4 linked regions of the Tamandua tetradactyla genome follow. The main gene of each other region encodes a partner of the protein of the gene in region 3 in a complex. Links are inferred from orthologs where the notes say so. Each region holds a gene or a part of one and is shown on either strand. Other genes may lie near its edges.

What was found.
Region 1: CDK2AP2 (region 3) and MTA2 share a complex: the UniProt entries of both Homo sapiens proteins name them as parts of the nucleosome remodeling and deacetylase (NuRD) repressor complex. The link is inferred for Tamandua tetradactyla from reciprocal best matches to the Homo sapiens genes CDK2AP2 and MTA2.
Region 2: CDK2AP2 (region 3) and MTA3 share a complex: the UniProt entries of both Homo sapiens proteins name them as parts of the nucleosome remodeling and deacetylase (NuRD) repressor complex. The link is inferred for Tamandua tetradactyla from reciprocal best matches to the Homo sapiens genes CDK2AP2 and MTA3.
Region 4: CDK2AP2 (region 3) and MTA1 share a complex: the UniProt entries of both Homo sapiens proteins name them as parts of the nucleosome remodeling and deacetylase (NuRD) repressor complex. The link is inferred for Tamandua tetradactyla from reciprocal best matches to the Homo sapiens genes CDK2AP2 and MTA1.

Annotation. Positions count from the first base shown.
Region 1 is NC_135335.1:11,958,168-11,966,106, forward strand, and holds the start of MTA2 (metastasis-associated protein MTA2), read left to right. Parts: upstream 1-4,939; 5' UTR 4,940-5,232; coding exon 5,233-5,260; intron 5,261-6,020; coding exon 6,021-6,088; exon of another isoform or gene 6,089-6,467; coding exon 6,468-6,561; intron 6,562-7,939. Other genes in the region: EML3 (echinoderm microtubule-associated protein-like 3), read left to right, coding at 1-108, 255-396, 836-987, 1,073-1,198, 1,289-1,420, 1,841-1,908, 2,432-2,520, 2,625-2,722 and 4 more. UniProt on the Homo sapiens protein: May function as a transcriptional coregulator. Acts as a component of the histone deacetylase NuRD complex which participates in the remodeling of chromatin.
Region 2 is NC_135343.1:14,118,464-14,125,632, forward strand, and holds the start of MTA3 (metastasis-associated protein MTA3), read left to right. Parts: upstream 1-4,158; 5' UTR 4,159-4,204; coding exon 4,205-4,232; intron 4,233-4,765; exon of another isoform or gene 4,766-4,889; intron 4,890-4,919; exon of another isoform or gene 4,920-4,938; intron 4,939-5,873; coding exon 5,874-5,941; intron 5,942-7,169. UniProt on the Homo sapiens protein: Acts as a component of the histone deacetylase NuRD complex which participates in the remodeling of chromatin.
Region 3 is NC_135335.1:6,904,353-6,912,062, forward strand, and holds CDK2AP2 (cyclin-dependent kinase 2-associated protein 2), read left to right. Parts: upstream 1-4,973; 5' UTR 4,974-5,576; coding exon 5,577-5,658; intron 5,659-5,665; exon of another isoform or gene 5,666-5,801; intron 5,802-5,983; coding exon 5,984-6,084; intron 6,085-6,171; coding exon 6,172-6,304; intron 6,305-6,676; coding exon 6,677-6,744; 3' UTR 6,745-7,199; downstream 7,200-7,710. UniProt on the Homo sapiens protein: Acts as a component of the histone deacetylase NuRD complex which participates in the remodeling of chromatin.
Region 4 is NC_135340.1:87,212,803-87,220,033, reverse strand, and holds the start of MTA1 (metastasis-associated protein MTA1), read left to right. Parts: upstream 1-4,227; 5' UTR 4,228-4,325; coding exon 4,326-4,353; intron 4,354-7,231. UniProt on the Homo sapiens protein: Transcriptional coregulator which can act as both a transcriptional corepressor and coactivator. Acts as a component of the histone deacetylase NuRD complex which participates in the remodeling of chromatin.

The sequences.
Region 1 (7,939 bases), about 5.1 Mb from region 3:
AGCTGCATTGTCACCAGCGGGAAATCTCACGTCCACTTCTGGAACTGGAGTGGTGGAACAGGGGTTTCTGGAAACGGGACCCTCACCCGGAAACAGGGTGTCTTTGGGGTGAGGTGTGGGTGGTGAAAGGTGGAGGGGGAGGACAGAGTGGAGATGGGCATGTCGGTCTGCGTCCTCTAATCCCCACCTGTCCCGTGACTTTTAGCTTTTGCCCTTCCCTTTGACCTCTGCTCTCTGCTCCCCCTCCCCCTCAGAAATACAAGAAACCCAAGTTTATCCCTTGCTTTGTGTTCCTTCCTGATGGTGACATTCTCACTGGGGACTCAGAGGGCAACATTCTCACATGGGGGCGGAGCCTCTCAGATTCCAAGCCCCCGGGCAGGGGCGGGGCCAAAGGTATGTGGTTGGGAGAGCAGCTGGGAAGGCCAGTAGCCCAGGGGGTCAGTGGGAACAGAGAAGAGAAGATTTCCCATCCTTTTCCCTTGAGAGTTGATAGTTGTGCATGGGATCTGGTGGGGGGCTCTCTGGAGGGACTGGTCTAGAAGGGTGGTGGGGAGAAGCATTGAGGCTTCAGCATCTGCCAGCTCTTGGGTTCAAATCCCAGTTGAGCCTTGGCCTTTAGGAAGTTCCCTCACTTGTCAGAGCCTCGGTTGCCCTGTCTGTAAAATGGGGAGAGTAATAGCCACGTTGGCTGTTCAGAGAATCAGAGGCGTTATTTAGTTGGCACAGGATAGCGGGGAGTTATTACCTTCTGTTGTGATGGCCTAGCGCCCCCCTCCCGCTCCCCATTTCCCTGCACCCCAAGAGCATGACCCATCCTGGGCTTTGCCAACAGAGACCTACGGGATTGTGGCCCAGGCCCATGCGCACGAGGGCTCCATCTTCGCTCTGTGTCTCCTGCGAGACGGGACGGTGCTGAGTGGTGGCGGGCGGGACCGCCGGCTGGTGCAGTGGGGGCCGGGGTTGGTGGCTCTCCAGGAGGCCGAGGTGAGGGCTGGCCCGGGGTCGAGCCAGGGAGCGGGGAGAGGGGTGGCCAGCCCAGGCGCCTGACTTTCTGCTGCCACCTCTGCAGATTCCTGAAGATTTTGGGGCCGTGCGGGCCATTGCTGAGGGGCCTGGCTCGGAGCTGCTGGTGGGAACAACGAAGAATGCATTGCTGAGGGGTGATCTGGCCCAGGGCTTCTCTCCTGTCATTCAGGTTGGGGGGTGGGGAGGGGAGGGCCCAGAGGAGGGAGGAGGGAAGACCTGTTGGAGCGGGGCAGAGGAGACAGTCCATGCCGCCCTGCAGGGCCACACCGATGAGCTCTGGGGGCTCTGCACGCATCCTTCCCAGAACCGCTTCCTCACCTGCGGCCATGACCGGCAGCTCTGCCTGTGGGATGGGGAGGCCCATGCACTGGCCTGGAGCATCGATCTCAAGGTAGAGCACCGGTCCCCTGGGTCCCGTGTCACACACCGCAGCTCTTGCGTCCAGCGTGGCTTCCCCCACGACCCCCTTTCCTTCTGCTCCTTGGAGGTGGCCAGTTGGTACTGGTATGGTTGGGATGCCTGTTCAAATATGAATTCCTCTGTATTGGTTGATAAAAGCCTTTGCCTCCAGTGCCCTCTAGGCATTGCCCTTTCTGATTGTGCTTCCCTTTGTCCGGCAACTAAAGGGTTAATCTCTGGCCCAGTTGGAAACCTAAGTTCTGATCATTAAATATTTTGAATATCAGCCCTGCCTCCACCCCAGGCTACCATCTCCTCCCCTGTCTTCTTGGGAGAAGGAGGAGGTTATCAAAAAGATAACCTGCCTAGAAGGGCAGCTTCTTGAATGAATTTTCCTTCTCCCCTCTCCCAGGAGACTGGTCTCTGTGCTGACTTCCACCCCAGTGGGGCAGTCGTGGCCGTAGGACTGAACACGGGGAGGTGAGAGGGAGCCAGGATTCCCGGGAGGGGAGAGAAGGGATGTATGGTAAGGGTTTCGGGTGGTGGGGGTAGTGGAGAGTGGCCTGGCAACTTCGCCCTTCCATGCTGCAGTCCTTCCCGCAGCCTGTGCTTCCCTGGCTCTCCTGTGCTAACTGCCCTCACCCCCTCTCCTCCAAACCTGGGACTGGAGGAGGTTGCAGCTCAGAAGAGCGAAACAGCGGGAATGGAAAGGGGAAGTGATCAGTTCCAGACCCACAAAGCCCTGTAGTCAGGTTCCTGGTGTGTAGTTCCTGACTTCTTTCTGAGACAGTATTATTGGAAGCCTCTCAGATTTTATCTGCCCTTAGCCCCTTCTCACCTCCCAGCCTAAGAATGCAGAGGCGACCTTTGTGCCTACAGAATGGGCTTTGAGGGGGCTTCTCAGAGGATCTCCAAATGGCCAATCCCTGCCGTACCCAGGGCAGCCTTCCTGGGGGTCTCCTGACCATCCCCTTCCCTCCCCCTGCCTTTTCCTCCCTTCCAGGTGGCTGGTTTTGGACACGGAGACCAGAGAGATTGTGTCTGACATCACTGATGGCAATGAGCAGCTCTCAGTGGTTCGGTACAGCCCAGGTGAGAGCCGCACCCCCCCCCCCCCCCCCCCCCCCCCCCCCCCCCCCCGCCCCAGACCCATACCGATATCTGGCCCCTTCCTCGCTGAACGACTGTCTTTGCAGACGGGATGTACTTGGCCATCGGTTCCCATGACAACATGATCTACATCTACAGCGTTTCCAGTGATGGTGCCAAGTCCAGCCGCTTTGGCCGTTGTGTGGTGAGGAAGCTGGGTTGGAGGTGGGGCACCACCACAGCAGGTGAACTCGCGAGCGTCTAATGCTTAAAGGGGTTCTGGGGATGGGGACGTGGTGGCTACATTTTTAACTTCTTGCCTTTTACTCCCAGGGCCACTCGAGCTTCATCACTCACCTTGACTGGTCCAAGGATGGGAACTTCATCATGTCTAATTCTGGAGACTATGAGATTCTTTACTGTGAGTAGCAGCAGGGGAGGATATGGGGAGAGGGTAATTGGGGTGGGTGTTATTTGTGGGGGACCCTTTCTGGCTAGGGAGGACGAAAGAGAATATGTGGGGAGTTGCAGATGAGTTTGTTAAAAAGGGAGGTGGAGATAGATGTTAGTTATACAAACAGGAGAAATTCATGTGATTTGGGACATCCCCCCTCCCCCTTATCTCCCTCCGCCCCTCCACCTCCCAGTTTAATACCAGGTCTTCCTTCACAAGGACTTGAAGGAAAATGCACACAGAAAAGATTCTTTTGGAAAGATTTATTAGGGCAGGTGTGGAGGGACTGAAGCTGTTAGAACTTCAGCAGAAACTCAGGAAGCACGCAGAGGCGGGTTTGTCTTTCCAACCTGCCCTTCCCCGGGCATCTTCCTGACTTGGCTTCTGCGCTGAGAGCAGGGAGAGAGCTGGGATGGTGGGTTCCCTCTCTCCAGGGGACGTGGCTGGAGGCTGCAAGCTGCTGCGGAACCGCTATGAGAGCCGAGATCGCGAGTGGGCCACCTACACCTGCGTGCTTGGCTTCCACGTTTACGGTGAGCAGGCGCGCGGGTTAGGGGTGGAACGGGAACAAGGGTGGGGGGACCAAGCCTAGCCCGCCTTGAGCTTGGAATGTTGTGTCCCGGGTGGGTGGATTTCAAGACACCGGCAGAGCCGACCCAGGAGGCCTCTCTGGCCCTGGAGACCCGGCAGGATCGCCTGGAACGCGGTCGGTGGGTGGCCACGGCGGCCGGAAACGGTAGAGCTCGGCGCTCTGCGCCTGGCGTGGGCGGCGGAGGGGAGGGGGCCGGGCTGAGGCCGGACGCTGTGCTAGGCGTGTGGCCCGACGGCTCGGACGGGACCGACATCAACTCCCTGTGCCGCTCCCACAACGAGCGCGTGGTGGCCGTGGCCGACGACTTCTGCAAAGTGCACCTCTTCCAGTACCCCTGCGCGCGCGCCAAGGTGAGGCCGCCAGGGGCCGCGGAGGCCGGGGGTGGGGGGGAGGCGGCGGGACCCGGGGGGGCGTCGCCGCCGCCGCAACTCCGCCCCCCTCCCGCGCAGTCGCCGAGTCGCGTGTACGGGGGCCACGGCAGCCACGTGACCAGCGTCCGGTTCACGCACGACGACTCGCACCTCGTCTCGCTGGGCGGCAAGGACGCCAGCATCTTCCAGTGGCGCGTGCAGGGCGCGGGGGGCGCGGGGCCGGCGCCTGCCACGCCCTCCCGAACCCCTTCCCTGTCCCCGGCCTCCTCCCTCGACGTCTGATAGCCGCCGGACTGGACCGACCGGCCCTTCGGTCTACCCGCCTCACCCGAAACCCCCAGGACCGGGGGCCGACCCTTCCCTTGACTTCGAGACATTCCCGATCGCGCATTTCCCTGGAGGGGGCGAACGACCCCTCCCGCACACACTGTAGAGACCCGCCGGCTGAGCCAGGCTGCCCCAGCCTGCTACTGTCTGCTGAGGGGCAATAAACCAAAAGCAAAGTCGCCTCCCGGTCCTTTTGTGGGGCGCGACTTGGGCGCCTCCGGGGCCCTGTGAAGGCGGGGATGGAGGCGAAGAAGAGAGCGGAAAGGGTAAGGGAGCGTAGACCATTTATGCAAATAAGAGGCAAAGCCTTTGGCAAATAACCCCAGGGAGCGCGGAGCTGAGCGAGGCTGTCGGGGCCGGAGGGGGCGCTGCCGGGCCCGGCGCGGAGAGAGTTAAAAGCCCAACTCCTCAAGGAGGGGCCGAGTTACAACGGAAATAACCGAGCGCCGGACCGCGATTGGCCGAAAGGAGCCGAACCTTTTCCGGAAGTAGCCGATCTGTGGGGTCTCACTCTCCGACCTGAGCCGAGCGCTGGGCCTTGTTCTCCGGCTCGGCCGAAGGTGTTCCGGAAGGAGGCGAATCACGAAGCGGGCAGGGCTAGCCTTCCCCACGGCCGGCAGAGCCTAACGTCTAGTGGGGGTCAGCGAGGGCGGGGGGGGGCGGGGGGTGAGCGCGACCCAGGCTCCGGTACGGCAAGAGCCGAACCCGTTCCGGAAGAAGCCGAGCGGAGTGGTCCGGCGCCGGCCTCGGCGTCCCGGGCGTGAGGCGGTAGCGGCGGCGACGGCGACATCGCCAGCGCGGGCCGGGATGAACCGCGACGGCTGAGGCGGCGGAGGCGCCGGCTGCGCGAACCCGACCGAGACTCCAGCGAAGCGCCAGACCCGCGCTCGGGGCTTTGCCTCGAGCCGAGCCCTGTCCCCGCGAGCCTCCCGGACCCCTTTGTGCGGCCGGAGGCGGCGGCGGGAACGGCCATGGCGGCCAACATGTACCGGGTGGGGGGTGAGTACCCGGCGCGGAGGGTGCGGGGCTCGGGATCCAAGGGGCTCGGCACCTGGCGGCGCGGGGAGCCGCGTCTGGGGCAGCATGGACCGGAGCGCGGACCGGAACCGGAACCGGGAGCATCTGGGGCGAGGGTGCGGGACGGCGGCGCGGGCAGGCGCGGAGACTCGCGGAGAGGCTGCGGGCAGCCCCGACGGCGCCTCGGGGCGGGGGCGAGGGGCAGGGCGGAAATCTCACCCAGCCCGGGGACTCGGGCTTGGGAAATTGGCTCCCAAGGAGCTGACAGGGCGGTCAGGAGGCGCGAAAGGCCTGGCTGACGGCTTTCCCTTCCACGGGGGAAACCCAGGAAAGGAGGGAGGTCTCCCCCCCACCCTCGGCGTTATTGTGCGCTTCGGTTCGGAGGCTGCGCTAGAGTGAACAATTGTTCACTTCCCCTAGACTGGTGTGCAACTTCGTCGCTGAGTGGTGGGGACTGTTGGGGAAGGTGGGGACTGTTGGGGAACCCTTGCTTGTCTTTCCCCTAAGGCTTACTTTTGAGCGAAAGATCTGACTTTGAACTAGGTGCAACGGAGGTGGGGGGTGGGGGTGGGTGGCTGTCCCTAGTTCCTCTTAGACTCTCCACTTCCACCTCTGAGTTCTCAACACCTGAACCCCCTGTCTCCTTTTGGTCCGCTCAGGCCGACTTTTTCTTTCTCCCATCCTGCCGCTTGGCTCTCTGATCTCCTCTGATCTTCCCTACTCTACCCGTCTACCTCTACAGATTACGTCTATTTTGAGAACTCCTCCAGCAATCCTTACCTTGTTAGACGGATTGAGGAGCTCAACAAGGTGAGTGGAGCAGAGTCATCCCCCTTTCCTTCGTACAGGTAATAGTCTCTTACTTCGGAGGTCTCTAACTTCAGGTGGATAGAGAGGTCTCTATCCTAAGTACTCATTCACATTCATCCATCCATTCATTCATTTAGTGCGCAAGACTTCTACAGTGCCTAGTGGAAACTTTACTGTTCTATCTTTTGAAGGCTAAGGAAAGGGATTTGGAAGTCTGTCCTTGAATGAAAGTGTCTTTATTCGTAATCTCTTGGGCCTTTCTCCTTAAGATCACTTAGAAACGTGATCACTTAGAAACGTAGTAACTGTTGTTAGTCTCATCTTTGTGCGTTTCCACTTTCCAATGAACAGTCTTCATTGCCGTTTTTCCCCCCTTTAGACTGCAAATGGAAATGTGGAGGCAAAGGTTGTCTGTCTTTTCCGGCGAAGGGACATTTCTAGTAGCCTCAACAGCCTGGCTGATAGTAATGCCAGTAAGTGTCTTTGCCCTCACCTCCCACCTGTCTCCCTCTCCCCACGCGCTGAGGCCTGGGCATGTCCCTGCTGGTGTTTCCCCTGGTATCATGCCCAAGGCAGGATTGTGAGTTTGGGGGTGGCAAAAGCCTGCTCTGTGGACGGAGGCCTGTTTTTACACGTTGGGAGGAAGCAGGGTGAAGAGCCCATGATAAGAGAAGTCAGAATATGGTGCACATGTGTGCGCGTGCCTCTGTGAGAAAGAGAGGCCATAGTATTTAAATAATAGGGGATGAGGAAGAGCTTTGGAGAACCAGGACTCTTGGCAGGGACAGTTTTGGGTACTTGGGACAATGGCTGTGACTGAAGAGGAAGAGATTTTATTTACAAGCCTGCAGAACAGAAAAGTGGGCTTATTTGTTGAGAATACATTGGAGGGAGAGAATAGGAAGCTAGGAGGAAGGAAGATAACAGGGAAAGGTTTTTTGCACTTTTCTTCTTTCTCTCTCCTTCCTTTCCTCCCCTCCCCCATTTTATACTTTCCCTTTTTCCCATTTCCCTTACCTTCCTTCTCTAAACTTTCATCCTTTAAAAAAATAGACCTTCAGTTTTCCTTAGCTTCTTTTTTCCCCTCTCCTTGTTTTTTTTGCCCTTTCCTCCTTCCTTCCTCCTAAATTAATTTTTTTTTTTTTTAGGCTGCTTTGGGCATAAAGGGGTTAAGGAGGAGCTGGGCTCACCAAGTTCCCTGGTCCCTTTGGGGTTTCCAGCCCCATCTGGCAAGGGCTGACCTTGGCCTTGTCCAATCAGAAGGGGCGTGGGGGGTGTGGTTCCCCTTGCCTGAGCGCTGGGTTTCCGGAGCACACAGGCGCTGGGCGGAGCCTGCTGCACTCCCCCTTCTCCTTGAGGTTGGGAACAATGCACCAATGAGCCGGGGCCTGAGGATCTCCTGCCCCTCCCCTTTTGGTTGGCACTCAGTCAGGTTAACCCTTCCACTAAGGTTTCAGGGGAAACTGCAGCTCCGTGGAGAGGAGGCTGTTTGCACTGGTTTAAAAGGTGCTATCCTTGAAAGCACCACAAACTATTATTAGCCAAGTAGAAAGTGAGGGATAGTTGTGGTTCCTTGTGATGATTTGGAGCAGAGTCCTGAAATCTGTAAAGAGGAAGTGATAAGCACAACCTTGTGTGGTATGTTTTTTATCCTATTGGGTTCCTGGACCTCAGGCTGGTTTAGCAAGAAACAGACAAGTGTGATGTTCTTGCTGGGCCTGGTGTGGGCAGAATTTGTGCTTTATAAGCAGTATGTAAGCATTGGCAGTAGGGTATGGGGTAAATTTCTGTGCCTTTCTTTGTATTCCCAGCAGCTTTTCTTTAAGAGCATTAGTGATGAAGGGTTTTAAG
Region 2 (7,169 bases), on a different chromosome or scaffold from region 3:
TGAAGAATTCTACCTGGATCTTTCCAAAGGCACTTCAAACACATCAGGCCAACACTGAATCCTTTAACTACACTCCTGGCAACATGCTCCTCCTCTTGTATTCTTTACTCACTGAATTACACCCTCTCCACCCAAGTTGCCCATAAGCCATGGCACCACCTTTCACTCCACACCTCCCGAAAGCGATCAGAGCTTAGCCCCCTCCTAAATCTTGCTCAAACACATCTACTTCTTTCACCTTTCACTGTCTCCTCCATAGACCAGGCCAACCTACCTTCTGACCAACTCCCAACTGACCTCTCAGCCTGCCCTCACTCTCCTCTCCAGTCCACTCTGTGCTGCAGCCTGAGTCACCCCAACACTCATTCTTTGTTATAGCCTATCAACACTTCCCATAGTCCCTTAGAATTCTTTTTCCTGATCCCACACCCTCTAGTGCTTAGCCATCTCTCATTCAAATCCACAGTACTCCATAGACTAAAAAAGGAAAACACTAGGTCAATTAGATGAACCACCTCAGAGCTTGTCCTTGTGCCCTGTTGTGGCTTCTAGTCCCTTTTCCACTACCTGGAGGTGTTGCTGTTGCTAGAGAGGGAAACTCCACATGGGTGCAATCAAATGGCTAAGCTAATTTCCTTTTGATGGCATGAGGGAACCCTGGAATCAGAAACCACACACTCCCCCAAACTAGGACTGGCTGGGATTTGTCCTGGGTTTCATGTTTTTAGCATGGGGGATTGATGGAAGGAGATAATCCACAACAGGAGAAGCTGTGAAACTCCTGACTCTGTTTTCCTTTTCTTCAAGGTCCCCTTGCTTTGATTCTTGCTATTGCATGCATACCTTTTTCCTGGGATATATTCTTTTGCCTTCAAAACCCAGATCCTCAGAATAGCAGCTACAGGCAGGCCTTTTCCAAGGGAATTCTAGTAGGCAACAAAATAAGTTAATAAAAAAAAAGGTGGGGAGTAGTGGTGGAGAACAAATCATAGAAAACACAAACAAGGTTTAGACTCTTATCCAAAACCTGGCCTCTGCTTTCAGATTAATTATATTCTAGACCCCCAGGCTCCTTTCCTGGGTTCAATTTCACAAAGTTCCCAGGCTGGCTATTTGTTGCCATTTTTTTTTTTCATGTATAAAACTCCTTTCCTAAATTGCAACAAAGCCAACTCTCCATTCCATTTATAACTTTCCTGCAGCCACCACTTCTCTTCATCTGAATGGTGGGACCTGAAGATTGACACATGGAACATCCTGGTAACTTCAGGCATTCTCTTACACATGTCTCCTTAATCACAACAGTCATACAAAGGAAATTGTACCTATGATGTGTGTGTGTGTGTGTGGGGGCAGTGTAAGGGGGAGGTTGTCCTGGGGAATTTCTGGCATAGTCTGAGAGACACCTCTATTTTGGTGATGAGACTGGGTAGAAGAGAGAGAAAGAAACTAACAAGTATGAAGGTCTTGACATATGCCAATCACTTCATGCATTTAATTTTTACCACAACTCTTTGTGGTAGGTTTCAACCACTAGTCATATTTTGTAGAGCTTGAGGCTCAGAGGGGTTAAGTAATTTGCTCAAGGTCTTACAGCAAAACAGCCAAGCCAGGAGGGAAGTTGGGGCTGTCATTAATGACAAGTTTGCAATCTAAACTATGGGGTCTAAGAAGGGAGAGAGGCCTTTGCTTTCTTGGAAGTGCAGGCTTTTCTATCTTTCTTTGCCCAGTTAGAGGGTTTCTTTCAATCTACAAACATTTCATGAACTCTCTTATGTGTATACCTCTCTGTTTGGCACTAGAAGTATAAAAAAAATCTGTGCACAAAGTCTTTGCATTCAACTCTGCACCTGATTCTCTAAACTGAGTCCCATCATTCATTGACTAAAGAGCACATATTATACAGAAGACACTGGGCCAGGAGCTGGAGGTGGAAGAAGCTAAGTTGATGAAATGCAGAGGAAAGAAGGGCTCCAGGCCCTGCCACCTTACCCCCTACACTCTGCTCCCTACACCCCATCCCAGGCCTCTGAGGCTTTCTTGGGGTCTTTGTGAATAAGGCTGTTCCTAAGGAGAGGAGGTGGGTGTGGGTGTGCATTAGGGAGTATTTTTGGCACCTATCACACATTTATTGTGGTTAATATAGTCATCACAAACACCTGGTAAGGAGCACAAAGCTGAGGAAATGAAACAGGCAGACAAGGAAGTAACAAAAATACAGAAACATTTTGAAGAGGGAGAAATTGCTCATTTATTAAAAAAAAAAAAAAGGAAAAACCTTTAAGCCAGTTTGGGCTTGTGATCCATTCCTCTCCATCTCCCTCAGTTTATGGTTTTCAGGTGGCCTTTTGACTTAGAGAAACGCTTCTGGGTTCAGAGAATTCTAGTCCAGAGGAAAGGACTGAGTTATAATCCCAGTATTGTTGCCATTTTACTATGTGACTGTAGGCAAATTATTCAGCCTATTTATGTGTCAGTTCATTAATGGAGTGAGTGATGTTTGATATGTCATCATATGTTTTTGGTGGGGTTTCCAGTAAAATGATTATGATAAACAGCAGATATGCAATATGAATCACGGAGCACATATGCATTTGTCTCTGGGTCAGAAGAGCTGACACAGACTCAGAATTGACACATAGCATAAAATCCTTGGGAATCTGAAACTTTCAGGTGTTAAAAGCAACTGACACCTGTTACTTGCATAGTTCTCTATGCAGTACAGTTTACAAAGTATTTTCACATATCATCAGAGCCAATCCTCAAACTCTGTGAAGTGAAATTAGTGTCTGTCTTTGTAGATGAGGAAATTTAGGTCATCAGTCAATCCATGAATTACAATCCATGTAATTCAGGCTTTTTTTTTTTCTTTTTTTAATTTTAACTTTGCCTGAGCTCTCCAGAAAATTATTTTGTTCACCTCAATAATTTGTGATGAGGAACCATCACAAATGCCAGACAACCAAAACACAAACTTCTTTTCTTTTCTAGGGACACCTCCCATCTAAGCACAGACCTCAGAGCCAGAGTCAGCAATACACAGCTGTACATCTCACCAGAAACTCCAAAGAACCCACAACAGTAAGGAATCATCATGTTTATTATACAACCATGTCTGGGACTTATTAGGAATGGATGGGCTTCTCTCAAGAAAGTTGTGTCCGTTTGGAGAATAGCCAGCTAAGATTCAACTCGATCTGGTTTTTTTTGTTTCTGCAAGGGTACGAAGGCTGTGAAAACAGGGGTTGTCTAGACAATCTGCATGGGGAAATGTAACCATTTGAAAGCTGTAGACACATAACCAGTTACTCTCCATCAACACAATAAGGTGACACTGAATTACAGGGCTGCTTGCCTAGGGACCAAGGAAGTCCCCTTTCCCTAAGGGTCTTCTCCCAGAAGGGCACACTGTATATAGGGCTTCCCTGAAGGCAGGTCTCCAGGTGTGGGAGAATGGGTTGGGTTCAGCCTAGTTCGGGGGTGAATACTAATAGACCTGTAATGCAATTAGGGTGGCCTCCTAAGGAAGTCAGTTTCTTTAGCCTCATCCCCACCTTAATCGCTGACTTGTTCTATTGGAAGCACCTGGGATGCTCCCGGACCTACAGGTCCTCCACACCACCTCGTGGAAGACGCCCTCCTCCGTGCAATTATTTGCATCCAAGTGTTTGCACTGAGACAGAAGCTCAAGCATGAAGGTCACACTTTTTTTCAGATACACAGGCTGGGGCTCCCCAGGGCCAGAAGCAGGAAAGGGGGACCTGTCTCGGGGCCGGCAGGTGGTGGGCGCCCTGGGTGGGACGGCCGGCGCTTCGGAGAGACGGAGCCCCTGCCCCCATCCCAGTTCTCTAACAGCTCGGGTTCCACATTTCCGAGTCCGCGCCTTCGCGGCGGCCCGGGCCCTTATCCTAGGACCCCCACTTCCACCAAGCCCCACCCCCCGGCCCCCTTCCCTGCTGGCCCCGCCGCTCTCCGGCTTCCTCGGGCTTCCCCCGGCCCGGCCCACGCGGCGTCGCTCGCCCGGCGCTGGGGGCGGGCACCTGCCCCCACCCCTCGGCGTCCCCTCCCCTTCATTTCCCCCTCCCCTCGCTCCCTCCCTCCCCTCCCCCCCGCGGCGAGGCAGCGGCGGCGAGCGAGGCTGAGGCAGAGGCAGCGGCGGCGGCGGGCGGGGCTCGGCTCGGGCTCCGCGGGCGGGCGGGCGGACATGGCGGCCAACATGTACCGGGTCGGAGGTAGGAAGGCTCGGCCCGACCCGGCCGGTCTGGGAACGGGCTCCGGGGGGGGGGGGGGTCGGGGCGAATTCACCCTAATCGCCGGGAGTCTTGGGTGCCCGGGCTGAGGGCGTGGGGGGCGGGGGGGGCGCCGGGGCCCGCAGAGGGGGCCGGGGCTCCCCACCCCCACCCACCTCTTCTCCCCCCCTCCCGTGGCCTGCACCGGCCCTGCCCCTCCAGTATCTCACTCTCCTCCCAGATTTTTAGGGCCAGGCCTCTGTTTGGCTATGAATGATCAGAAACACCCCCCCAACCCCCATGAAACCCTCAAGGGGGTAGGGGCCATGAAGCCTCTTAACAGGGTGGCTTCTTCCTCGCGTGGCTTCTAGGCTGTGGGGGTGGAGGATGGAGGACCCCCCCCCACTCTTCCCCTTCAGTGGGAATGGGGGGGGTCGGCTATGGGGACCCAGCTAGAGGCACAGCTGACAGGCCTGGCCGTAGGGGCAGGGCCCTGCACCTTCCCTGCTTCACTCCCCCTTTCATTTCTTGTCTAGCCCCCCAAGAATGGGGCTTGGTGGGGCCAGGGAACCGCAGCCAGAGGTGGGGAATTGAGTTCTGCCTGGACGTTTGCTCTGCTGTCTGCCTCCTTCTCAGCCTTCTGCAGAAGAGAGAAATAAGGTCAAACAAACTTTCTCCCTACTCACGACGCCCTCCTCCCTCTTTCCTGGTAAAATAATAATTCAGATAAGTGGCGTGTTTGTGTGTGAGACTTGCTCTTCTCTGCATTAGCCGCTCTTCCTGACGGAGGGTGGTGGGAATGGCCTGGCTAAATGAGGCCACTTTGCAGAAGCTAGGTGGGATAAAGCCACCAAGAAAACACAACGACAATGCAGCCCGGCCTCTTAACCCACTGTGAGAAGTTTCCAAGGAGCTTATTAAATGAGGAAAAGCCACTCTTGGAGATTTTTATCCTTTCTGTTGAAAGCTTGCAGTGATTTTTAAATTTTATTTAAATAACGAAACCCTGAGTGGATCTGTATTAAATAGGGTAGGGTAGAAAGGATTCTGATGTTACACCCAGAGCTCTCTGCCTCTCTGAAAGTGACTCCCTCCCCCACTTCTTTTCCACCTTCCCAGGTTCAGCTGTGGAAAAGTTTGTCAGTGTGCTTCCTCTTACCTGCTCTGCTCACCTGATTGATGTTTTTAAAAGTTGGTGATTGAAATGTAGGCTGGGCTGCTAAACCTTTCACGACTGAATTTGTCTTAGGTCATCAGTTTTATGTGAGACGCATATTCCAGGGCAGATGGCATTGGAGGGAAAAGATGTGGAAGCAGTTAAAGGACTCAGACTCTTATTCAGTGAGCCCTGACAGCGATGAGTGTGAGAGGTGTCTTTTTGTTATTTAAAAAAATGACATGTGCAGGGCAAAAGTCTAGGAAAACTTGATAAAAACTGTAATTGAGATGAAAATTCCAGGAAAATGAGGGCCTGTGATTAGTGGGCACATGAAGGAATGTATTAGGGTTTCTTTACTAAGTTTGCTTTTATCAGTGGAAGAATTAGGTGCCTCATGTTGAATGTGAATTGTCTGCTAAGGGAAGTCATAGATTGACAAATGTGAACTTTCTATTGGAAAGATTAAACTCTTCCTTTAATTACAGATTATGTCTACTTTGAGAATTCCTCCAGCAACCCATACCTAATCAGAAGGATAGAAGAACTCAATAAGGTATATATTGAGCGTTCTTTATATTAATATTAAAAAATACTTTTTTCCATTGAAGGAAAATTGGCTAAAGGGCACAAGGCTGATTTTACTTTCATTCCCACACCTTTTGAAAGTTGAGGTTTCAGATTAGAGGATTCAGATACAGGATTACGAGTACTGTTTTGCTTTTTTGTAAGTACCCATTTTGGTTAATATTAAATATTGTTTTTGGACATATATAAAATGTATACAAGTTTCTTTAAATTGCTCAGAGCCTCTCAAAGATTAGGTCACTCTGTAACTCAGGAAGTTCCTTTTTATTTTTACAGAAACAAGTTGTCTTTCTCTCCCTTTTTTTGTGAATTAATTTTTTCCCCTTCTAGCTTAGACAGAGGAAGCTGGAAAACAATATTGTAATGAAGGGAATTTGTAAAATTCTGGACTAGGCTAACTAATATTCTAAATAGAGTTTTGGTGTAATGTAAAGTAAAATAAAACTTTTACACTGAGATCAGCTCTTATCACAGGTGTTCACACTCTGATCTCAACATCAGAAGCATCGTGACTGTGGTAAATGAGCTTTTATAATGGAGAAACCCAAAAGCAGTCATAACCTACACGGACCATAGATTTCTAGTCATCTGGTTTCCTCCAGACCGCTTTTAAGAGTTATTTGTGTGGCTTATGAGAATTCATAGTGTAAAATCTCTGGGGCTGTCTATCTATTATGGTCCCTCAAAAAATAACAACTGAGAGTTGGTCCCAGGAAGTCAGGCCTTAAGTCATTCTTGGCTTAAAAAGGCTTGAAACATTGTCTTACTTCTGGGAGTACCTCCAGGGACTTTGCATTTAAAAAATTCAGACCAACTCTAAGTGAGCAGAATGGCCCCAGATTTAGATCAGTTTGTTGAGGGGAACTGTCAGAGTGTAATTTTGATCTATTTGTCTTATGTTATTGATGTGAAGTCATGATGTTTACCATATTAGTTTAATTAGAAATTTAAGATTCCAACAGAAATGTTGGCCTTTGAGACCGTGTATTTTCTGGCTGTGCCCTGTCCCTCTCTCACCTCCCACTGTTGCTGCTCTCTTCTTGTTCATTCTGTTCCAGACACATTGGGCTCTTGGCTTTACCCCACATGTACCCATTTCAGGACCATCCCCTGTACTTTGTTCTTGTTTTGATATCATTTATATCACCTGCAGATATACTTATTTATTGTGCTTGTTTTCTTTGTCTGTCTACACT
Region 3 (7,710 bases):
TTGCTCCAGCTCTGGCCACAGGGGCAATCTCGCAGTTGGCTCCTATCGCCCCTTGTCATGCCCCCCCCCCATTGGGTGTGCATTTTGCTTTTGTTTGAGCACTTTTTTACTTTCTGCCATTATAAGATACTCCAAGCCTATCTTGTCTATTTCCTGCCCCAGTCTAAGAATCAGCCATATCTCCAGAGAACGCTGGTCCTTCTACTGGAGAATGGTCTTAGAAACCAAGATCTGGGTGCTGTAGGTGCTTGTTGCTACTGGGGTGTGGTTTCCTACATGTGTATGGTACATGTAATACAATTCCATTCTTTTGTCACATTCTGCATTCCATTCTGGGATCCCCCATCTCCTAACAGATTTTTAAATTTCACATAGATTAAATTTCACTCTATGCTGTAAGGTTCAATGGGTTTTGAGAAATGTTTACTGTCTTGTATTCACCATTGCAATATCTATCATACAGAATAGTTTTACTGCCCTAAAGAGGCTCCTCTGCTTCACCCATTCAACCCTTCCCCCACCCAAAACCCCCAGCAACCACTAATCTGTTTACCATCTCTATGATTTTGTCTTTTACAGAATGTCATATAATTGGAACCATGCACTATGTCCTTTTTTTCAGATTGGTTCCTTCAATACCAATATGCACTTACGATTCATTCTTGTCTTTGTGTGGCTTGATTAGCTCATTTCTTTTTATTGTTTGGTAGTATTTTTTTCCTTTATTAGGGAAATTATGCATTTATAGAACAATAGTGTATAAAATACAGGATTCCTATGGACGGTGTGACAGTGGCTCAGTGTCAGAATTTTCATCTGCCATCCCAGAAATCTAGGTTTGATTCCTGGTGCCTGCCTATGCAAAAAAAAATATATATATAGGATTCCTATACACCACCCTGTTAACATCTTGTATTGGTGTGGAGCAGTTGTTATAACTGATGCTAGAACATTTTTATAATTGTAGTATTCACTGTAGTCCATGCTTTCACATACGGTTCACTGTTCGGGTAGTGTCAGTCCATGGATTCTTTTTTTTTAATTTTCATTGTCACATATATGAAGTTTAACATCTCCCCTTTCAAATCACATATTTCAGTGCTGTTAATCACATTCACAGGGTGTGTTACCATTACCACCAAACTGAGTAGTATTTCACTGAATGGATGCAACACAGTTTATTTATTCACCTATTGGAGGAAATCTTGGTTCTTCCAGTTTTTGGTGATCATGAATAAAGCCGGTATAAACTTTTGCATGCAGATTATCACGGGGACATAAGCTTTCAAATCATACAATTGCTGGATCATATGATAAGATTATGCTTAGTTTTGTAAGAAGCTGCCAAGTTGTCTTCCAGAGTAGCTGCACCACTTTGCGTTCCCACCAGCAACAAATGAGAGTTCCTGTGGCTCTGCAAACTCACCAAGAGTTGGTATTATGTTTTATGGATTTTAACCATTCTTAAGGTATCATGGTATCTCACTGCTTCATCAACTTATTTTTCCTCATTTTATTACAAGATTTTTCAAACATAATAAAACCAAAAAAACTGTACAGAAATACAATGTTGAGTTTTATAGTCACAAGGTAAGGCAACAAACTCATCTGCTGGCTGGACTGAGCCTGGGGGCTTGTTTTCAGTGTCTGGTTTGGAGGCTATAATGCTGCAAGGCTCCAAATTGCAGAGGGTGAGCTAGGAGCCTGGGGTCTGAGTGGAGAGGGGACTCCCTGAAAAGTTCCTCCAAGACCACGCCACAGAGGTCTGTGCTATCTTCCCCCCAGGGTAGGAGTGTCCCTACCAAAATTGTCATCTCTGACCTCCTCAGGGAACTCTGTGCTCCTTCTGCTATGGCCCAAGGAAGAAGGATTTGGAAAACTGCTTGAGGGCAAGGTTCAGCCCTGCAGTCACCTCCTGGCATGTCCCTCCTGCCAGACACCGGCAGTGGAGAAAACGGGAAAGCCTAGGCTTTGGGAGAAGAGGCAGAGCTACTGGCCCCTCAGTGGCCCCCTCCCCCTATCCCTGCAGAACTCCTTCAGAGCACAGCCTCTGTGCCACTGGCAGGCTGGGGAGGCTCTTGGGTGATACATGATCAACACTTTTTATTTCTATAGTCAGATACTTAGTTTGAATATGAATTACAGAAGAACTTGGCTAGTCTTTGTAATTAGTCCCTGGGAGATACCCACTAACTCTTTGGGATTTCCCCTAATAGGACTGTCATTTGCTATTCCTGCTGGGCCCCAGCCTACACCTCCGAGCATACATTAACAAGATGACTCAAGGTGGGGCCAGGCGCACCTGCGGCTTTATTACGGGGGTCACCGAGGTGATTAGAGGATTGGGCTTTGAGCCAGACCTCTGCAGGTTAGAGGGCGGCAGCTGGAGACCAAATTCACCCACCTGAACCTTGATTCCATCAATCATGCCTTAAAGTGTCAAAGTACACAGAGGCAATTAGAAAACCTTATTAAACCTTATTTGGGTAACAAAGGATTAGCGAATCAGGCAGCACCAAACCAAAAGTGTAAGGAGGGAGTGGAAAGGGGAAGCTTATATAGGGCACAGGTGGAAGCAAGTGAGACGTTCTGATTGGCTGACATTGTTAGCATTTTATATGGGGGGGTCTTACAAAAGTGGGGAGCAGATAGTCATGGATTAGTATGGTATGCCTGTACATTCTGATAAATTCTCTCTACTGGACAGAAACTGGTTTATCACCAGGTGTTGCTTACCTGCAATCCTGCAAGATACCTTTCCTCATTCCATTTTCTCGGAAAGCCCCTGCAGGTCAATTGTTTTATCTCTGAAAATCCTTTCTTGGAAAGGGTCCCCTCCTGGCAACACCCAATGCAGGCGGCCATTTAATTTTACTTAACCTAAGTAATGAAACTCTGAAAAAAACTCTGGCCAGTGAAGCTCAAGTGAGCTTCCCTGCCTGACAAGACTCTGTTGTGCAAGGCGAGTGATGTGTCCTGACTCCACAGGGAGAGGACGTGAGCGCTTTGGCATCTGGCGACCTCCCAGACTTTATCCTATGTGTCTCTTATTTGTATCTTTTCCACTATAATAAAATTGTAATTGTAGCATTTTCCTGAGTTCTGTCAGTCCTTCCAACAAAAGGTAGAACCTGTTGTCAGAACCCCTGAATTTGTAGCCAGTTGGCCCAAGTGCAGGGGTCCCTGGAACCCCTGAACATGTGGCTGGTGTCTGAATTGCCACCTTGGGGAAGATTGTGCTCTTGGGCTGTGAAGTCTCATCTGACTTCGGATAGTTAAGTCAGAACTGCATTGTAATTAGAAAACTATGAAGTACACTGAGCTCATAACTAAACTGATATGATTCCTTTTCCTTTTAAATTTTTTTAAAAAGTGAATTGATACAAAGGAAATATTAAGTAGATGATGAGACTTGAAAATGTTTCACAAAGACTAGAACAGATGTTCAACACAATGAATAATAGACGGTTATATGGGGAAAATGCACCTGCTGCAAACTTCGGACTATAGTTAACTGTAATATTTTAATACTCTTTCATCAACATTGACAAATGTACTACACCAACACTATGGGTCAATAATATGGGATGATACAGAGTATGGGAGGATTAGGGTTTTCTTTTTATTTTCTGTAGTAAAGAAAATGTTCTAAATTTGCTTATGCGGATGAATGCAGTGTTAACCAGTGACTGTACACTTAGGATGGTATCTATGTTGTGTGACTATATTTCAATAAACCGGCATTTAAAAAATATTTCACAAAGGACTGAAGTTAGAAAAACATTGGGTACAGATTAAATTCCAACTTCCTTACATGTTTGCCACCTGAGATTCCTCTATCATTACAGCCCTGCCCTTGCTTCCCAATTATCCCCACAGCAAAAAGAAATGACTTGTCCAATCACTTGTGCTTCCAAACTCTCAATCCTTTCCATGTGCCAGGCCCTCTACCTGGAGCACCCCCCTCCTTCTCTGCTCCCACCACCCACCTTGGGGTCTTAGCTCAAATGCCACATCCTCTGGGAAAGCTTCTGTGAGGTCACCAGGTAGGCCCCTTCCCCTTGGCTCCAATGCTCCAAGGTCTGGGCTTCACCGTGGCCACTCCCTTAGTGTTGTCTGTGCCTCTGCTTTCCTATCTGCTCCTCTTAAGACTAGGAGCTCCTTGAGGACAGAGTCTGCAGCTGGTTCGTCTCTGTATCCTCAGAGTCCAGTGCAAGGTCCGGATAGGGAAGGGATTCAGGAAATGTTTGTTGGATGAGTGCATGAACACATGTCCCGGAGATGAGGGAAAACCTACAGACCTAGGGGCGTGACATGTACACCAGGCCAGACAGGTTTTGGGTGGAAGGAGACTGGGAAAAACAGGAAGGGGGGTGGGAGGGTCTGAGACTTGGGGTTTGTGATAGATGAGATTTGAGTGGGGTCGCGTAAGGTAATGAAAATGTTTTGAGGCGCTTAAATGGGATAGGGATAAAGGAACAAGAAGAATAAAATCGTAAAAGCAATACAAATATTCATTGAACCCACACAATAACTCCGAGAGGTAGTTTTCATGACTCCCCCACCCCCGTCCCATTTCACCGACAGGCACAGGAGATGAGCGACTTGGTCAAAGGGAAACTGCTAGTAGGGAAGGTGCTGAGATTCGAACCAGGCAGTGACTGCACTCGGTCCTGTCAGTCACTCCTCTGGTTCAGAGCCTGGCACGCAGAAAGTGATTAAGGAGGGGTTACCTGTGACTGCTGCTGTCATTATCTGCGGCAGAGGCGTGGGGGCTGGGGGGCGGGTCGCGGGGTCTACGGGTCGTCCTTACACCGACCACCTACGGACGAGCCAATCCCAGGAAGAGCCGCGGGTCGCGGCGTTGGTGCTGGACTCGTTGCCATGGAAACAAAGGGCGGCAGCAAGCGAGCGCATGCGCAGATTGGGGAACGGGTGTTCAACCGGCGAAAGGTGACGTAAAAGCGCATGGGGTGGGGCGGAGGAGCCGGGACGTCAAAGCCCTGCGTCCTTCGGCATCCGGAGAGGAGAGGCGCGCTCGGCGGCGGCGATAGCGGCCCCAGGTGGACCGAGTCTCGGCCGGAGACCCGGAGGCGTGAGGTTGACGTGCGAAGCGGCGCGGGAGAGGCGGGCGGACAGCGCCCGCGCCCGGGAGGAGCCACTCGACGCGAACCGCGGCGGCCCAGACCCGGGTCCCGGTTCCCGAGGCCCCGCCCCTGGGGCCGTGGGACTAATCGGATTGAGAGCGCGCTGGCCCGGGCCGCGAACTCGCCAGTTGCGGAGGGCGCCGCTCACTACCCAATCCGAGGCAGACAGGTGCGAGGTCCGGAAGGCGGCGGCCAATCGGCAGCGGTTGCGACCTGTGGGGGCCGGTCTCGGCCAATAAGGAGGCTCGAGTGACATCTTGGCGCGCCAATCGGGAGTGAGGGAGCGGTCGCGCCCGCCCGCCCTTCCGGCCCGAGCTCTATTTACCCGGGGCGTGCAGCCCACTTGCCAATCAGAGCGCGGCCGAGCGGCCGGGCAGCCAACCCCGGAGGAGCCGCCGGCCGGCGTCCGCCAGCACCCAGGAGTTTGGGATGTCCTACAAGCCCATCGCCCCCGCCCCCAGCAGCACCCCCGGTTCCAGCACCCCCGGGCCCGGCACCCCGGTCCCTACAGGTGAGGACCCAGCACCACCCCTGCTCGCCTCCCCGGCCGGTCGAGGTCTCGAAGACAAGACGGCCTGCGTTCTGCCATGCTGGCGCCGCCGCCTACCTTCCCGCGAGCCTCAGTTTCCCGGCCTGTGAAGTAGGCGTGGTCACGTAAGGGCTTGTAGGTGGAGCGCAGGGGGAGGGGTTTGTCCCTGAAGTTGAGCGGCCTGGAATGAAGTTGTCCCCTTGGAGGGATTCGGGCGAGCCCGGTCGGGAGCTTGAAACGCTGGGAGGAGGCGTCCCCGCCCCGCGCTGACCGCTGACCTCTGACCTCTTACTCGCGCGTGTTGCAGCCGGCAGTGTTCCGTCGCCGTCGGGCTCGGTCCCGGGAGCCGCAGCCCCCTTCAGACCACTGTTTAACGACTTTGGACCGCCCTCCATGGGCTACGTGCAGGTGAGTGCGGCCGAGGGTGGGCCTGGGGGTGGGGGGCTGGAAGCCCACCCTGGTTGGATCTCACTGCCTTGTTCCCTTTTGGCTCAGGCGATGAAGCCCCCCGGTGCCCAGGGCTCCCAGAGCACCTACACGGATCTGCTGTCGGTCATAGAGGAGATGGGCAAAGAGATCCGACCCACCTATGCTGGCAGCAAGAGCGCCATGGAGCGCCTGAAGAGAGGTAAGCGAGGCGGGGCCCACCCTGCCCTGCCCAGGAGAGGACACGGGGCAAGCCTCCTTCCTTAGGACAGGAAGGGCTACCGAGGCCACCCAATCCAAGCTCAGCACCCATCTCATTACCCAGAGAGGCATTCTGAAATGAATGGAATTGAACTGAAATCAAGTCCATTTCGAGGGAGGGACCTGAGAACTCCTATTTTACCAGGGTGAATTTGAGGATTGGCCAAACCTCTAATCTCATCCAGCTTGTCGTTATAGACTTCAATCCCTCTTACTGAAGGGCAGAGGGTGGGGAGCCAGTCTTCCTCTGGAGGGTGGGGGTGCAATTGGAGCGTCTCCGGGGCCTGGTGTTACTTCCCCGCCCCCACCCCAGGCATCATCCATGCCCGGGCCCTAGTCAGAGAGTGCCTGGCTGAGACAGAGCGGAACGCCCGCACGTAACAAGAAGCACCTCGTCTCGGCGTCTGGACCTTTCCTGGCCACCGCAGAGCACCTGCTTCTTCCTGGCCTTCACCCTGAGTTGCACTTCCCATCCTGGGCTTCCTGTCCCGTGTCCCGTGGTGGGAGCCCTCTGGGAGGCAGGAGGCAGCTCCCACTCCAGTCAGCAGCACTAGCTGGGGCCCCTGGACTAGTTAGCAGTGAGGTCACTTGTGAGGCCCACCCATGACCTGCTAACCAGGTTGATCCAGCGGGAGCTTTCCCCTTCCTGGGGCCCCCCCACTTCCCCAGCACTGAGAACCACGTTGTCCCTGCCCCCCTTCTCCCCACAGCAGGCCTTAAGAAGGCCTGTCGACTCCCTACCTTGACTCCTGGGCTATAGCGACTTTTCTCAATGTGTCTTTTGCTAAATAAGCCCTTTTTGTATAAATAAAAAGTGATTTGGAGTTGTTCTCTCAGCTCTGAGCCTTTCTGGGTCCAGTTCTTCTAAGCCTAGGGGAGCCTGACAGCAGGGAAAGAGGAGACCTGGGGTTGAGAGGAAGTGCAGGGGTGGGGGGGTGGGTTGAGGCTGAGGCTGGCTAAACTTGGCCTTGCCTCTGCTGCCCATTGCTCCCTGGGTGGGGCCTGGTCCCAGGCCTCAGACCCTCAGCCTTGTCTGTCTACTCTTAGGGGACAGATTTGAGTTCCAGGAACGGAGAGCCCTGCCTATGCCTTCGCACTGTGCCGCCAGGGGGCAGCACAGGGCCTTGGCTGCCTCCACAGCTGGAGGGCACTGCCTGCCAGCCTGGGCCTGGAGCGTCCTGCCCCTGGAGTGTCCTGCCCCTGGGTGGAAATGCCAGTTCACCAAAGCCTCTCCTCCACAGGCCTTAGTGCCAAAATGTCCTCAACTACCCTGAATCCATCTTTGACTCTTCAGCGTGGGAGGTGGGAGTGGAAAGTATTCCTGCTTCCTTTCCCCAGCGCCGCCTT
Region 4 (7,231 bases), on a different chromosome or scaffold from region 3:
AGCAATATAATATCGGACAAAATAGACTTTAAATGTAAAGACATCATAAGAGACAAAGAAGGACCCTAAATATTAATAAAAGGGACAATTCACCAAGAAGAAATAACAATCATAAATGTTTATGCTCCCAATCAAGGAGCTCCAAAGTATATAAGACAGACATTGGCAAAACTGAAGGGAGTGACAGATGTTTCAACAATAATAGTAGAAGACTTCAATATACCACTCTCCTGTTTAGAGAGAACAACCAGACAGAAGATCAACAAGGAAATATAGAAGTTAAACAACTTGATAAATGAATTAGACCTAACACACATATATAGGTCATTACACACCAAAACACCAGGATATACATTCTTCTCTAGTGCTCCTGGAACATTCTCCAGGAATCATACGCTGGGGCACAAACCAGGTCTTTATAAATGTAAAAACACTGAAATTATTCAAAGCTTTTTCTCTAATCACAATGGAATGAAGTTGGATATCAATAACCACCAAAGAATAAGAACATCCAGAAATTTATGGAGATTAAATAACACACTTAAACAACCAGTTGGTCAGAAGAAATTGCTAGAGAAAACAGTATCTATCTGGAGACGAAAGAAAACGAGAATATAAGCATTTATTGCCCTAAATGCCCATATTAAAAAACAAGAAAGTGCAAAAATCGAGGACTTAACTGCTCACCTGGAGGTACCTGAGAAAGAACAGCAAACTAACTCCAAAGCAAATAGAAGAAGAGAAATAACAAAGATTAAGGCAGAGATAAAGAATCAATAAAACCACAAGTTGGTTCTTTGAGAAAATCAGTAAAATTGATGCCCCACTAGCAAGAATGACAAAGAAAAAAAGAGAGAGGATGCATATAAACAAAATCAGAAATGAGAAGGGGTGAATTACCAGAGACCCTGAAAAAATAAAAGAAATCATAAGAGGACACTATGAACAACTATACGCCAACAAACTAGATAACTTAGATGAAATGGACACATTCCTGGAAACACACAAACAAGCTACACTGACTCAGGGAGAAATAGAAGATCTCAACAAACCAATCACAAGTAGAGATTCAATCATCAAAAATCTTCCTACAAAGAAAAGCCCAGGGCCAGATGGCTTCACAGGGGAATTTTACCAAACATTCCTAAAATAACAAACACCAATCCTGCTCAAACTTTTCCAAAAACTTGAGGAAAAAGGAGCACTACGTAACTCATTTTATGAAGCGAATACCATTTTAATACCAAAACCGGGTAAAGATGCTATCAGAAGGGAAAACTACAGGCCATTCTTCTTAATGAACATAGGTGCAAAAATTCTCAACAAAGTACTAGCAAATCGAATCCATTAGGGGTCAGCTCAGGTCACTCAGAGCCCACCCGAGGCAAAACTGCTGTCCCTCGGCCCCATTGCCTAGTTCCCTGGCCCCCTGGCCTCAGCATGAACACTGCCCTTCTCTCCTTCCCTCGTCCTCTTGCCCCAGTTCTTCCTTCAAAGCACATAGCATCACAGGCATGCCAATACATGTTATCCATTATCCCGTCCCCTCCCCGCACCAGGGTGCAGGCCCCCAGCCCTCCCTTACTCTGCCCAGCATCTCCAGGGGTATGTGGACTGAAGTAGGTGCTTAGCAGGTAATAGTTGAATGAAGAAATCACGGCTTTCCTCTTCCTGTAAAACCCTTCCTCGGTTAATACTTTGCCATCCTACCCCTTGCCCCATAATGCACTCGAGCACTGCTGTTATTTTGGCCCCCAGTTTGGTTGTTTGGCTCTTGCATCTCGTGCTCCTTCTGCTGTTTTGCCATCGGGTCTTTGAGTCCCCGCTACTGAATTTGTGTTCTTATGAACTCTGAGAACCTGGAGTGCTCCCCTGGAGTTTTCTTCTGTTTCTGCAGTTGTATTTTCTTCTCTAGTGGGTTCTTCATGGCCGCTCACTTCCTTCCTTCAGTTTCTTCCTTTCTTTCTGTTGCTGTTTGGATTATGGGACTGGAGGCTGCTGTTTCTTTACGTCTTATTCCTGTTCCAGCATAAGCAGCCCAGTCCTGAATGTCTACTTCCTCTGCTGTGAAGTGGATGACTTCTCCTTCTTTACTTCTTATCTGAGATCTCTTTTACTTGCCTCTGAGCTAGTTTAAGCACAGGGTATTGTATCTGTGTTAGATGGAATCTGTATCCTGACAGAAGACACTTTCTTAATCGTAAAACTTGCCTGTCTAGGTGTGAATACATTTGTAAGTTGGACCCTTTGAAGATATTTTTAGTTAAGATGTGGCCAGATTGCATCATGGTTACTCTTAATCTACACGTGTAGTGACTTTCTAAAGAGAGGAAATTCCGAAGCAGGCAGAGGCCAGAAGGCAGCAGAAATGAGAGGACGTTGCCGTGGGATGGAGGCAGAGGCAAGACCCAAGGAGCCCAGAGGCTGTGGCGCGCTAGCCCCAGAATACCAGGCTCTGGGGAGGCCCAGCCTGCAAACCCGGATTTGGACCTTCAAACCCACAGACGATGAGTCTTTGCTCAGGCCACCACTGGGTGCTGTTTGTCAGAGCAGCTGTGGCTAACTGAGACCATATCCAACCCCCCTCTGCGTTTGTGTGGAGCGGGAAAGGCTGTGTGGAGAAGAGTTGCTGGGCTTGCTGTGCTCTGAGGACTTGCTGGCTGCCCCTCCTCTGGGAGGGCTGTGCCCTTTACTTCTCGGGGTAAACCTGGAGTCTCGCTTGCTGCGAGCTGTCTGCTCTCTAGTTCTTTTCTCCACAAAATGCTCTGTGCTACTGTTTCTGGGAGAGGTCCCCACGTTGACAGCCGGGCTGTGTCGGCTCTCTGCTTTCTGCCAGTCCTGACAAGGGTTGGGGTCGTGGCCTGTGGGGAGGGGGTCAGGGGTCCTGCAGTCTTCCCCTGGGTAGGAGGCTGGGTCTATCTGTGCGCCCCCCCCTTTTCCAGCATAGGGCCGACCTTTGACATGCGAGGCAAGTTCCAGCTCCCTGCTGCTGCCCTTTAAGCCAAGCTTCTGGGAGAATGGGAGCCTCAAGCCCCACTTCCTCTCCTCCTCACCCTGTTTCATCCACCGTGGCCCCCACTGAGCCCCAAACAGCCAAGGCTGCGGTGAAGCCCCTGCTCAGTGCAGGCATTTCCCCTCAGCACATGTGCAGGGCCCACTCTCCCTTGGGGACCCTTCCAGTCTCCCCAGAGCCCTCATCCCACCCTGTCACTCAAACCAGCCACTGGGGAGCCATTCCGGACACCTTCTCCCCACAACACATCCTTCTCCCCTCCCCCATTCTCTGTCCTGGCTCTCACCGTAACTCAGCCCTGCTCTCATCTGTCCCTCTCAGCCATCCATGCCCCCTACAGACAGACAGACAGACAGACACACACACACACACACACACACACACACACACATCCCCTTGCTGAAGGAATCTGGGCCACTGGACTCAACTCTGGTTAAACCAAAGAAGCACGGGCAGAGTTACAGACTCTGACCAGGGCTGGGAAGGCAAAGGAGGGCGCTGGCTCCAGACCTTAGACAGAGGGGCCTGTGGTTCCCAGCCTTCCCTGCTCCCTCAGCCCCGCACGCCACCCCCCATCCCCCCCGCAGCACCCCCATCCCTGCATCAGGGAGGCCCGCGGACCCCAGGGAGGCAGGTGCCCTGAAACACGGAGCCCTCGGTGCTTGCTGAGTGGCGGTGCGCCCACTCTCTCTCCCTTTCCCCCTAAGAGGCAAGGCCCCAGAGGAGGGGCGACAGATGAGGAGCACCCCCTGCCTCAGAGAGGTGCGGGCCTTAAGTAGGGCTGGGGGCTGTCCGGAGAGAAAGCAGGGAAGCCGGGGGTGGGGGGAGCCGGCCTGGGAGGCAGGAGCGGCGCCGTCGCCGGGACCCGGGGGCGGGCGGCGGGGGAGGGGCGCGCGCGGGGTCCCGCCGGGGCACGCGGGCGGGCGCGGGGAGGTGGGGGCCCGGCCGGGGGCCGCTCGGGCGTGCGGGGAGGAGGGCCGCGGCGCGAGGCGGGGGCGCGGGGCTGGGCCGCGCGGGGCGGCGGCGGGCGCGGGGTCGGGTAACGGCCCGCGCGGTGGGCGGCGGCGCCCGAGGCCCCTCCCCGCCCGCCGCTCCTCCTCTTCCTCTCCCGCCCGCGCCGCGGCCCTCCCGTCCCTGCGCGGCCTCGGCGGCCTCGGCGGCGGCGGCGGCGGCGGCGGCGGAGCAGCGCGGCCCCTTTAAACCGCCCGCCGGCGGCCCCCGCCCGCCCCCGCACCGCGCCTCCATTTTCCAGGCCCGCGCCGCGCCCGAGCGCGCCCTCCCGGCCGGCCCCGCCGCCGCCGCCGGCCCGGACATGGCCGCCAACATGTACAGGGTCGGAGGTAAGGCCCGCCGCCCGCCGGCCTTTATCCGCCAGCGCCGCGGGCAGGCCGCGCGCCGGGCCCGCGCCCACCCCCACTCAGCCCCTGCACCCCCCAGCCTCGCGACCCTCGGTTCCGCGCACCCCAAGACCCGGGACCTCTGCCCGACTCCTGCACCCCTGGCCCGTCTCCCCATCTCTTCTCCGCCCTGGTCGTCTCCAGCCCTTCCCCCACCGGGCCCTCCTCATCCTTCGCCCCATCCGAACTGCCCTCCACCCCCCATCGGCCCACTTCTGTCCCCTTCCCTCCCCCCTGCACCCCTCCCCCACTGCAGGCCGTCTCTGCCGGCCCATCCTGCGCCTCCCCCCCCCCCAGCAACCCCCACCTCTCTTCTACACCCCTCTCTTTGCCCCCTTCCCCCTCGCTCTTCCTTTATGAGCAGCTTGGCTCCCTCTACCCGGCTGTGTCCACCACAGCCCGAGATGGCCTGGTGGGTGGCAGCGACCGAGCTGGGCACCAGGGAGGCGGGGGCTCTGCCCACCTGTTGGGGGCTGTGTGGGTGGCCTGTTGGCAGAGCCCTGGAGAGGCAGGGGGGGCCTGGGCCTGGGGGGGAGCTGGTGCTCCCGAGCAAAGAGCACGTGGTGTGCAGTGGCCCTGGAGAGGAAGAGGGGTTTCGGGGTAGGGGTCCCCATCTGGGCCCTGTGGAGCGGACTTCCCTCTAGCAGTGGAGACCCCATGCCTCTGAGTGTCCTGCACAGCCTAGACCCAGGGCGCCTGGGGGTGTGTGCAGGGGGCCACCCAGGCGGGGTCCCAGGCAGCGTGTTGCCTCCAGGTCACTCTCCTAGGCCCCTAACTTTCCCGTGCCTCCCGCTGACCCCAGCGCATCAGGGCTGCTTGGCCAGGAGGCCTCCTGGCCATCCCTCCTTTCTCCTGGCCCGAGAAGCCTCAGGCCTGGGTCCTTGCCCTAGTTTGGGATGGGGGTGGGGGACTCTGGAGGCGCCATGCTGGTCTTCTATGGTTCTGGGGGCCCTTTGACTCCTGCCTCCACCTCCGCCATGCATCCCTTCCTGCAGCAGTCTCTGGGACCTGCGTGTGCCTCCCCTCTTGGATCCCCTCCTTTGGGGCCCCCAGCATACTGGCCTTGGGTTGGGGAGCATCATTGTGGGAAGCAGGCACCCCTGCTCCTTGCCCCCCAAATCCCCCCACTCCTGTGTGCCTCTGGCATGGGGTGCCACTAGTCTGGCACTATCCGTGGCCCCCCACCCTGCTCTGGGGTGTTGGGGTGGTCCAAGGCTATGAGGAATCCCTGGGCTGCCCTGACCTCTATAGCTCCTGCAAGGAGGGGGCCCAGCTACAGGGTCCCCAGGCACCAGCAGAGGAGAAGCCCTCTCCATCCGCACGGCTCTGATGGGCCCCTAGGGCCTGATGACCACTCGTGTACCTCCAGCCATGGCCTCTGGCCTGGCAGATCCCCATGTACACGTGCCTGCCCCCCCAGCAGCCCCTGCCTGTCTCCTGCCCCGGTCCTGCTGCGGGTCACCCTGGCTCTCAGGGTTCCTTGTGTGCAGCTCCTACTTGCTCCCCACTACCCTTCTCTTGTGGGGCCTACCCCGTACCTGGGGCCTGCAGTCTATGCTTGCTGAAGGAGCCCCCGGCTCTGGGGAGGGGCTGGGGAGGGGGCAGCGAGGTGGGGGCGGCACGGGATTGTCCTGTCTGCCAGCTCCAGGCTGCTCGGGGTCCTGGTCACTAGCACTGTGGAGCCTCTTCCCCAGACCTCCCACAGCCCTACCTGCTCAGGTCCCAACTGTTCCATGGCCCCTCACTCAGCTAGTGCTCCCTGATGGGCCCTTCCTGGGCTGTCCTGGGGCTGCCTGGCACCCCCAAGGTACAGAAAGCCCCCTGGAGCCAGCTGCCAGTCTGGGGAGGCACCCAGTGGTGCTCTCCTGGCCTGGGTTATTGGACAGAGTCCAGTCAGGGACAGACACGGCTCCGGGACGGCAGGTGGCCACCTGGCTTGTGTCCCCTGTAGTGTGCAGGCTGGTCCCTGGGGCTTTCAGGTCAGCCTGCCCACGGCAATACCTTCCTGGGCTTCGGTTTCCCCACCATGCGGACGGGGATGTCCATTGTGTTCCTGAGTCGGTGGTGAGAGTGTCCTCCTCACTGCTGGCCTTTGCCCTCCCTCGTGCAGGGATCCTGGCTTGGACCCACTGAGAGATGGATGGGCCCAGCTGTGCCTCAGCTCAGAGCGAAGCTGCTTCTTGGGGCTCCAGTTCACCGCTCTGTTTCCCAGTCCCTCCTTGGTCCTCTTTCTGGGGCCTAAGCTCAACGGGCCTGGACAGCGCCTTGGGTACCAGGAGCTGGCTTGGGTCTCCCATGGCCAGTGGCTGAGCACTCAGTCCTGGCCGAGGAGGTTGGGCCTGCAGCCGTTGAAGGGTGCTTGGGAGGACTTGGGCTTCCTCTCTGCCCCCTCACATGGGCCGTGGCCTGATGATCTCAGGTCCTCACTGCCTTCCTGGGGGCTTCTTGAGCCATGCCCATTCTAGGTGGTGGATGATGCCCACCTTTCCACTCTAGAGCCCAGCGTCCCCCTCCCGGGGTCCCTGCAGGCTCTGGAGGCCCTGGGGGCTGGGGGCAGTGCATCGCTGTACCACAGGAGGGGGCACCCTGGCTGCTCGGGCCCATAGCCCAGGGATGTCAGGTGCTTCGAGGTGCTTGCTTGGGGCTTCTGGCTGCTGCCGAGGCTGGAGGGGCAGCCAGCGCAGGGCTCAGCTTGGGAAGGGGCTCACTCTCAGGAAAGAGCTTGATTTCCCACTTCAGAGACCTGCTGCGGACTGTTGCCAGATTTAGCAGATAATGTACAGCGCCCAGGTAACTGCATTGCTGATCAGCAGCAGTAATT